Arabidopsis thaliana: one gene and its partner. The protein of the gene in region 1 interacts with the protein of each later gene in a pairwise test. Each region holds a gene or a part of one and is shown on either strand. Other genes may lie near its edges.

Evidence for each region. Proteins that work in one complex are often made in the same cells at the same time.
Region 2: the proteins of AIRP1 (region 1) and UEV1D-4 interact in binary tests that used the Arabidopsis thaliana proteins (3 or more experiments, as listed by UniProt).

Annotation. Positions count from the first base shown.
Region 1 is NC_003075.7:12,240,260-12,244,611, forward strand, and holds AIRP1 (RING/U-box superfamily protein), read right to left. Parts: upstream 2,448-4,352; 5' UTR 2,203-2,447; exon of another isoform or gene 2,177-2,202; intron 2,133-2,176; 5' UTR 1,932-2,132; coding exon 1,795-1,931; exon of another isoform or gene 1,607-1,794; coding exon 1,543-1,606; intron 1,463-1,542; coding exon 1,171-1,462; intron 1,096-1,170; coding exon 986-1,095; intron 878-985; coding exon 854-877; 3' UTR 545-853; downstream 1-544. Other genes in the region: AT4G23440 (Disease resistance protein (TIR-NBS class)), read left to right, coding at 1-400; AT4G23460 (Adaptin family protein), read right to left, coding at 3,640-3,939, 4,241-4,352. UniProt on the Arabidopsis thaliana protein: Possesses E3 ubiquitin-protein ligase activity in vitro when associated with the E2 enzyme UBC8 in vitro. Plays combinatory roles with AIRP2 in the positive regulation of the abscisic acid-mediated drought stress response.
Region 2 is NC_003074.8:19,493,825-19,497,757, forward strand, and holds UEV1D-4 (ubiquitin E2 variant 1D-4), read right to left. Parts: upstream 2,272-3,933; 5' UTR 2,131-2,271; coding exon 2,097-2,130; exon of another isoform or gene 2,074-2,096; intron 1,585-2,073; coding exon 1,445-1,584; coding exon of another isoform or gene 1,442-1,444; intron 1,259-1,441; coding exon 1,079-1,258; intron 995-1,078; coding exon 854-994; 3' UTR 553-853; downstream 1-552. Other genes in the region: AT3G52561 (uncharacterized protein), read right to left, coding at 3,364-3,663. UniProt on the Arabidopsis thaliana protein: Has no ubiquitin ligase activity on its own. The heterodimer with UBC catalyzes the synthesis of non-canonical poly-ubiquitin chains that are linked through 'Lys-63'. This type of poly-ubiquitination does not lead to protein degradation by the proteasome.

The sequences.
Region 1 (4,352 bases):
CAGAACGTTCATATCATTTTCGCGATGCACAGCCTCAGTGGAGCTACTAAGGGTCTGCACAAACGCACTTGAAGCAGCTGACCAAACGCTAGTGACACCAGTAGAGAAATGGCTAGACAAGTCGCTTTGCTGGAGACCAGTTCAGACAAGTGCACAACTAAACCCTATTCTATGGGAAGAACTTGCTCTAGCTCGAGCCACCGTGCTAGAGACTCGAGCTAAGCTGATGTTACGAGGCGGGCAATTTGGTTTGGCTGATGACTTGATCAGAAAAGCAATCTTCATAAGAACTTCGATCTCAGGAGAGGATCATCCTGGGACTGTGTCGGCTCGAGAGACATTGAGTAAGTTAACGAGGCTTTTATCCAATGTTCATCAGATTCATAACACTTCACCGTAATAGAGAGAAGCTTTTAGGGCTTTCTTGTTGTAAAAGTTATAAAGGTTAGAGTTTCTTGTTTTTTTTTAATTATCATTATTTTAGTCATAAGAGTTAGATTTATACAGAAGGTTTAGTAATAAAAAAAACTGTTATCTAAGAAATTTGTCAGAGAATCCTTTTTTATCACAGTAAAATCTCTGAATTTTCAGGCTCTTCTAAAACTGTTCTTCAACTTTTCTCGAATTAATTCAGATTCAGAAACAAATCTTAAACATAAGAGTTTTTCAAAGAATATTAAACAATCAAATCTAATTTCTGTATATCATCAAAAGGAAGTGAAAGCTTCTGAATGTAGTAGAGAGCAACAATGTTCATCATACCACCAGAGTAAGTCCTAATGCCTGTTTATATCAAATCTTCTGTACCGTTTTTCGCACTTCTTGTTCCGAGCTATTGGTTTCTTGTTCACGATTATGATTCAGTGAGCACTAATTCCTGTGAAAAGAATACCCAAAAAGTAGACTCTATTGTCAAAACAGATTCTAGTGACTCAAGAAGTTCAAAATGTATTGTGAAAATGGCGGATTTTAAACGGACACAAACCTTATCGCAAACTGGACACGCCTCGCTTCTTTCCATCCATGCAAGAATGCAAGCGAGATGAAAGTCATGGCCACATTTAGTGAGCAATTTCGGGTTATCAATCTCATATTCTGCAAACAAACAAGATGAAGATATTTACCAAAATGTTATATTTAACATGTAACTTTGAATGATAAACAAAATACCTTCTAAGCAAATTGGACATTCATCGATTGCTTCTCGATACTGTTTCTTTAGCTCAAAATCAGTTAGATCATCAACATGCCATGTTTTCTTCTCTGGAACAACTTGTGTGAGTCCCGGGGATGCTTCACTCGAATTGCCCTGAGTTCTTGGCAATTTCGGTGGACTAGTTTGAAGATTTATATTCGTGATGGCTAAAGGAATAGGCGGCGAAAGAGGTGAACTGTATGCATTAGAGAGAGAGGAAGGCGTGGCACGAGATAAGGGAAGATGCTCATCTATAGTTCTTGAGCTCTACAGAAAACAATAAAACATAAGAAAACAAAAACCAAAACCCAAAAAGGCTGCAAACAAGAAAGACGTAGAGGCTTTACTTCGGGTATACTCGGGAGACAACAGCAGCAACCCATTCTTTGGTATGATAAAGTTTTGACAGTTCTCAGATCAGTGTATAGCAGCTCTTTAGGTTACCAAAAGACCTGTAGTATCCAGAAAAAATTCATAAGACTCCTAATTGAAACTCTAATGGGAGGCAAAATCTAGCTCTGTGATCATACTAAGTAACTGGAAAACCAAACTCAAACACCACAAGTACTTCAATGTAACATAGCTAACTATACACTAACAATGAGAGAATAATAGTCACAGAGATTAAAGCAATACAAATATGTGTATCCATTGTGATGACAAATATAAGATTAAAGACTCTCGTGTACTTATGAGGTTCATTATGAAGAAAGTAAATTTCATGTTGAATACTCATGGAAAATCATATGATCCTAAGAACATCTTGAGCTTTCAAATGAAAAAAAAAACTTGGTTTACCATAACAGAGATACTATTAGTTACCAAACCCTAATAGACGAAGAACTGAAAACAGAGTGGTTAAAAAAATAAAAAACAGTAAAACCTGGAAACTAAAAAAGTGGGCTGAAACAGAAGTAAAAAAAAAAAAAAAAAAAATCTCAGAACAACCAAACAGAACAAACGAAAACAGAAAAGAAGAACCTCACAAACAGAGTTAGTGATCCTACAAAACAAAAATATAAAGTGACTTTTGTAACGGAGAAGAAAAAAATCATTAGTTACCTAAAAAACAGAAACAGAAGCTTGATATAGTCCTTCTTTTGATAGGATTTCTGGGAAAACTTTTTGAGGTTTTGTGTTGAATGAGAATTTTCTGATGGCGACGAAGAAGACTAGCTGCGACGAAAGAGGCGACTTTATCAGAGAGATAAAATCAAGGGATCACAATTTTCTTTACTTTAATTGTTATTTTGGTTGTTAATCAAACTTTTTTGTATTTATATTCATTAATCACAAACCATATCGTACAAGGAAACTCTGGATTTTCTTAAGAATATTTCCCATTAGCCCTTTTATAATAAGATTTTCATGATTTGACCACCAAGGTAATTAGTATTATTTTATGGGATATACAATATTAACCATATAAGTTATAACTATATAAGCAAGTTTTAAATTAATGATTGCACTACTTATAGTATCTTAAATCTAAAAATTATGATTCATACTTTTGGTTCAAAATAAAATTAAAAACTGATTAACCAGAAAAACAATTTTTTTATATTTAGTAAAATATTGGATATGAACAGATTTAAAACATTATCTACAGATAAACTGATATAAAGTATAAACCCTTGGTGGGGACAAATAATAATTATTCTATTTAGTAAATGATAAAATTGTCTAAAAAAGTATTTTCAAGCTTGGACCTTTGTTGTACTTACGGTCTCAACTAAAATGTATAGTTTTGATCAAATTAAAATACAATGGTGAGCTTTCATAAACCAATAATGTCGAAACTTTGGTATTTCATTTTAAGTTACAAAAATATTAGTTGATTGATAGTATAATCCCTTTTATGTGATGGCGTGTAGCGCCCTTACTCAACCCTTATATTCGGTGGCATTACTTCAATCTCACGTTACTATTAGTCCCCCTCAAGCTTTAAAATTTTCAATTAGTTTTGGTTTTGAATTGATTTAATAATCAATCGATAATTAAAAGAAGATTAGTTTCGACGAAGCTATTTTGTAACCGCATGTTACAGGAAATCATGATTGATATTGATATTAGGAAATTGCTACGTCGCATTACGGGCCCAGTATCTATCTATCTACGCCTATCTGTTGTGAAGAAGGTACCAAATTCTCAACTGGTTTACGTGTACGAATCTCTTCGCTCCACTTAGGAAACTTTTTGATTTCATGTCGGTCACTGAACACTAAAAATAGCATTTGCTGATAATAAGTCATTATCACACTAGTTTAATCAAAAACCTTTTGGGGCATATACGCAACGACAACATCAAAAATCAAAGCTCTTACGAGAATAAAAAAACGAGTGGGTTCCAACACAAAAATTAGAAACAAGAAGTCGGCAACAATTCACTTACTACATACACTAAAAGAAGAAATTTGCTTACCTTAGGGCAGTGTAAAATCAAATCAAGCCTTGAAGAGAATTTCGACTGCTTCAAAGAAGAGAGGAGCGATCTCAGGGGTTGGAGTCTTGACTGCACATTTCAGACCAGGTTGACCCACTATGGCCGTTAGTTCGATCAGGAACGGTATGCCTCTTGGTACCTTGGCCGAAAGATAGAGGACGTCTTGGTTCCCATTCTTACGCTTTGCTATGAAGAACATGTTTGATGCGGCGAGTAAATCAAGTGTTGACTCCACGCTCGTGATGGTTATCCCGGGGAATTCTTTCTGCACCTCGTTTGAATCCGGTAACGATTTCCATGTCTAATCAAAAAAACAAATGTTTTATAACTCAGAAGAACTGGTTTTTAAGACTGTGGTATATAGTTATGATCAGAAATCAATATCTTCCTTCAGTTCTTACTGAGTCTAGAAACTTAAATCGATGAAAACCATATCATATGTTAAGATCTACAGCACCCTAACTCCCCCAGGCTTCTTAAGGCACAAAATCTGTCACTAATTACTCGCCCATCTTAATATCATAAGCCCTCTCCACTATTAGTCAATGACTAACATGGTGCTGTATTGTTAATGAACTCTTTATCATATATTAGTCTTTTACCTCGAGGAAGGTTCCGCGCTCCATCCGACCATCTTCTGAGAAAAGAGCGTTAAGTACAATCTTATCCTCGAAGTACCAGACAGGCTGCTGGTTGTTTTTGACGGCAACTTGC
Region 2 (3,933 bases), on another chromosome or scaffold:
GCTGGATCAATCCAACCATGAGTGTTAATGTTTGGGCTTGAAATCTGATGAAACATAAATTAATTGAGCTTCTGAGCAATGTGTAAATGTGTTATAGGTTTAATTACGTTCAACCACTTTTTTCATTTATTTAATAAGTTGATTTTCCAAGACCACTCGTAATCAACTTTCATGGAGTCCGTTTATGGTTAAGACCACTCGTAATCAACTTACAAGCAAGTTAAACAGTGTCCTAAAAGTAGAAGTCTACATGTCGAAGAATGATTGTTTCTATGTCAAGAACGACGACGCGGAACATCAAGAAGTACATGCAAATCGACGTGCATCATCATCAATAAGAAGTGTGCTAATTGTAGAAAAAAGTAACACTTAGTTTTCAAAGGTTCTATTAATCACCGTAAGCATTGGCTTTAGATGAATCACAGAAACAAAAATAAGGGTTACGAAGCTGTTCATGGCTTCTTTTTCCATTAGTTCGGATTACAAAGATTCATGATTTTTTATGATACTTTCTTGTTTTAACCTTGGTGTATTACATAACAAATAACCAATTAAATATAGCAGATTTCATTTATATATAAAAAAAGGGCTGACACAAAATGTTAAATTCAAAAGATTGAACACATGGAGTGAGGAAGAGAAGCTGTTTTTGATATTTGCACACAATGATAAAACTTCAGATGATCAATCGGACAACATCATCATCATCACCATACCATCCACACAGACCATTTTTTGATGAATTAAAAAAAAAAAAGCGTTGAGAACGACAATGGAGGACCCCCAGATACATACTTTGGTATTAGAAGGGGCAATGATTTTCTAGCAAACCAGAAGAAGATTCCAGAAGTAACTAGAAGCAAGTACCTTCCGGAGGTTGAACAAGCTTACGGTTATGCGACGTAGACATTTCCTTCTTCAACTGTACCAGTATATCCTCCATTGTGTACTCTCTTTGCCAGTTTGCAAGTAGCCCAAATTTCTTAGGATCCACCTATACACATACGCATAAAAAAATTACAGAGCATCCAAAGAAACAAAACAGAGAAAGGAAGGGCGGTGGTGAGTTTATACGTACCACTCCTGTTTCGTGGTTGACACAAGCCATGTTGACACGTGAATGGAATCGGACAGTTGGAGGTTTCTCCGGGTAATCTTTGTCACAAAAGAGCTTCAACTGATAGATTCTACCTTCATGAACAGTCTGTGACATAAAATTTATCTCTGTTACTACAAGCAAAAGCAACAATGGCATAATCTGCTCAAATAAAGCTTAAGAGATTGTATGTCGATAAGATCAATGCCTAGAAAACAATGTGGTTTTGATGTTCTGTATTCCAAGCAATGAGATGCAAATAATATTAATCTATGCTTCTCAAAACAATTGTTAACATATATGAAGACGAAGGAGAATGTTAGCAGATAAAGAAAAAGATATAACTACGTTGTGAGGACCGATGATGGTGCCAGTCCAAGAACGCATATAGATGTCATCTCCATCATCCATTCCATAGCTCACAGTTCCATCCCCAATACCTTTCTCCCCACGTTCAAGCTCCTCCAACAACCGAAAATTCCTCGGAACTATATTGCAATAACAAGCGTAACAAAAACAATTCATATCAGTAAATGAAAACAAGCAATCACTTTTTTTAATCAAAGCAGAGAACAGAACATATCATATTAATCATTATCCACAAAGACTAAAATAAGATAACACTCAACAAAGTTAACAATGAGCTATAGAGAAGATGAAAACATTCCTAGCTAAGGTCTTAGAAACAATAAGAAACTCAGGAATAGCATTTTAAACCCATCTCAGGAATTGAGACATCAGCAAATCATTCTCAGCGATTTGTTAAAATTGATTGATTCAGATCAAGCTATATGCGAACAATTTAGACAAAGCTACAATTTTTTATACTAGATCGATAGAACCTATGAGAAATCTCAACACCTATTGATCAAAACGAATAAAACCAAAAGAAGAATTCACCAAAACCCTAGAGAAAAAAAAACAAACGAGGGATTATTCCAAAACCCTAGAATCAAAATCAAAAAACGAGAACAAACCCGAAAGAATCGAAATTTTATACCAACAACGCTAGATCCTCCTGAGCCAAGAGTCATAATTGATGAAGTTGTGGTTTCGATATCCGATTGATTTTGAGATCTGACGAGCAGAGAAGAGAGACGAGAAGAAGTAAAGGGAGAATCGAATAGAGAGAATCTGGTGAATAGACAGAAAGCTAAAATGGGAGGGTCAAATTTGGCAAATCGGGTACTTTTGGGGAGACTGGAAAAAGTTATTTTTTTCAAATTTACCGCCCAAATTTGTTTTTCTATCATATAATTCCTTAAATTATGATAACTACAGAAACACCCCTTTTATTTTCGAGTTTTGACAACATCTATTTGTTATTATTTTAACTAGCAATGCAAAATTTCTATATACATGAAAATTATTGAAATATTAAAACTCGCTTGATTTGCAACTAAATTATCGTAAAATGTAAATTTCTTTTTCAAAAATCATGTTAAAACTTTAGGATAAAATGTTGTCACGTATATATGTCGTCGCATGTGCCTTAATATATATGAAAAACAGAAATTAATTATTTATTAGATTTTTGAAAATTTAGTACTTATAAATAGAAAAATGTCATAAAATACATTAAAACAAATTTTAGTTGCTACTTTTTCACTAAATTTAGGTTTAAAAATATTTTCTTAAATAATTTAATATTTGAAGTTTGTAAAAGTTCTTAAATTTTATTGAATTTGATGGTGAATTGTTTTGAATAAATAACGTTTTAATTGATGAAGATACAACTTTTAACCTTAATTATTGAAAATTTCATCGGATTGAATGCCGATGAAACCAAAGCAATACCATTATTAGCATACTACCAATTTGATTCTTAAGACCCTAATTCGAGACGTGTCGATTTTTTTACTTGTGTTTAAATTTATATTTTGTAATTTTTAAAAATAAACTTTCTATTTTTTTTGGCGTTTTTCATTTACATTGAAAAACTATGTTTCTCTGGAGTATACAAATAAATAAATATAAACGCAAACGCCATAACTAGCGTTTGAAACAATCGAATTCAACTCCGATGAAAATCCATCCTCGTTCATGTCATTGGCTTCCATAGTACTAAAACATGAAAATGGACAACTTAACAAAATGAACCAAGAGGGACGGCCACAAACAGAAATGATCTGTCTGTCAATTTAACATATTAAAATAGAGATTATAATTTAAACAATATGATTTATATAGAGGACTTTACAAAGAAAATTAAATTCATCATCTCAAACTCAAAAGTCCAAATTGAATAATAACTTAAAACAAATTCTCTAAAAGAAGATCAAGTCGGTGCATTTGCACTTGGGGCAACGTTGACGTTCTTGTAAGACCATAACATACATCATACAACTTCGACATCCCATCACCACCATCTCCGGCGCCTCTTCTTCATCAACCCACGACGATGCAACCTCCTCCTTCACTTCCTCCGTCCTCGTCAGGCACGAGTTTTGTGATGATGATGTGTCGCTCGATGGTGATCTTCCTTCAAACCTCCCATTAGCAACCACCGACGCCACGGTCCTCGCCGAGGGCTCAACGCTACCTCTTTTACCATTCTTGTTTCTCATTTCGATACTTCGGTTTCGTCGAGAGGGTTTTTGTATTCTTGTATTTGTTTTTCTCTGTGTTTTTCTAGGGGATGGGTTGATGGTAATGACTTCTAAAGAAAATGTATGTATGTAATATATAAGGAAGAAGAGGAGCTAAAATATGACTAGGAATTAATATTTGTTGAATAAAGTAATTATGTTGTGGAGAGAGATATGACTTTGTTTATTTCGTAATAATTTTTTTAATTGGAGGTGGGAAAGTTAGTAAAAGTATAGTAGAGACAAATA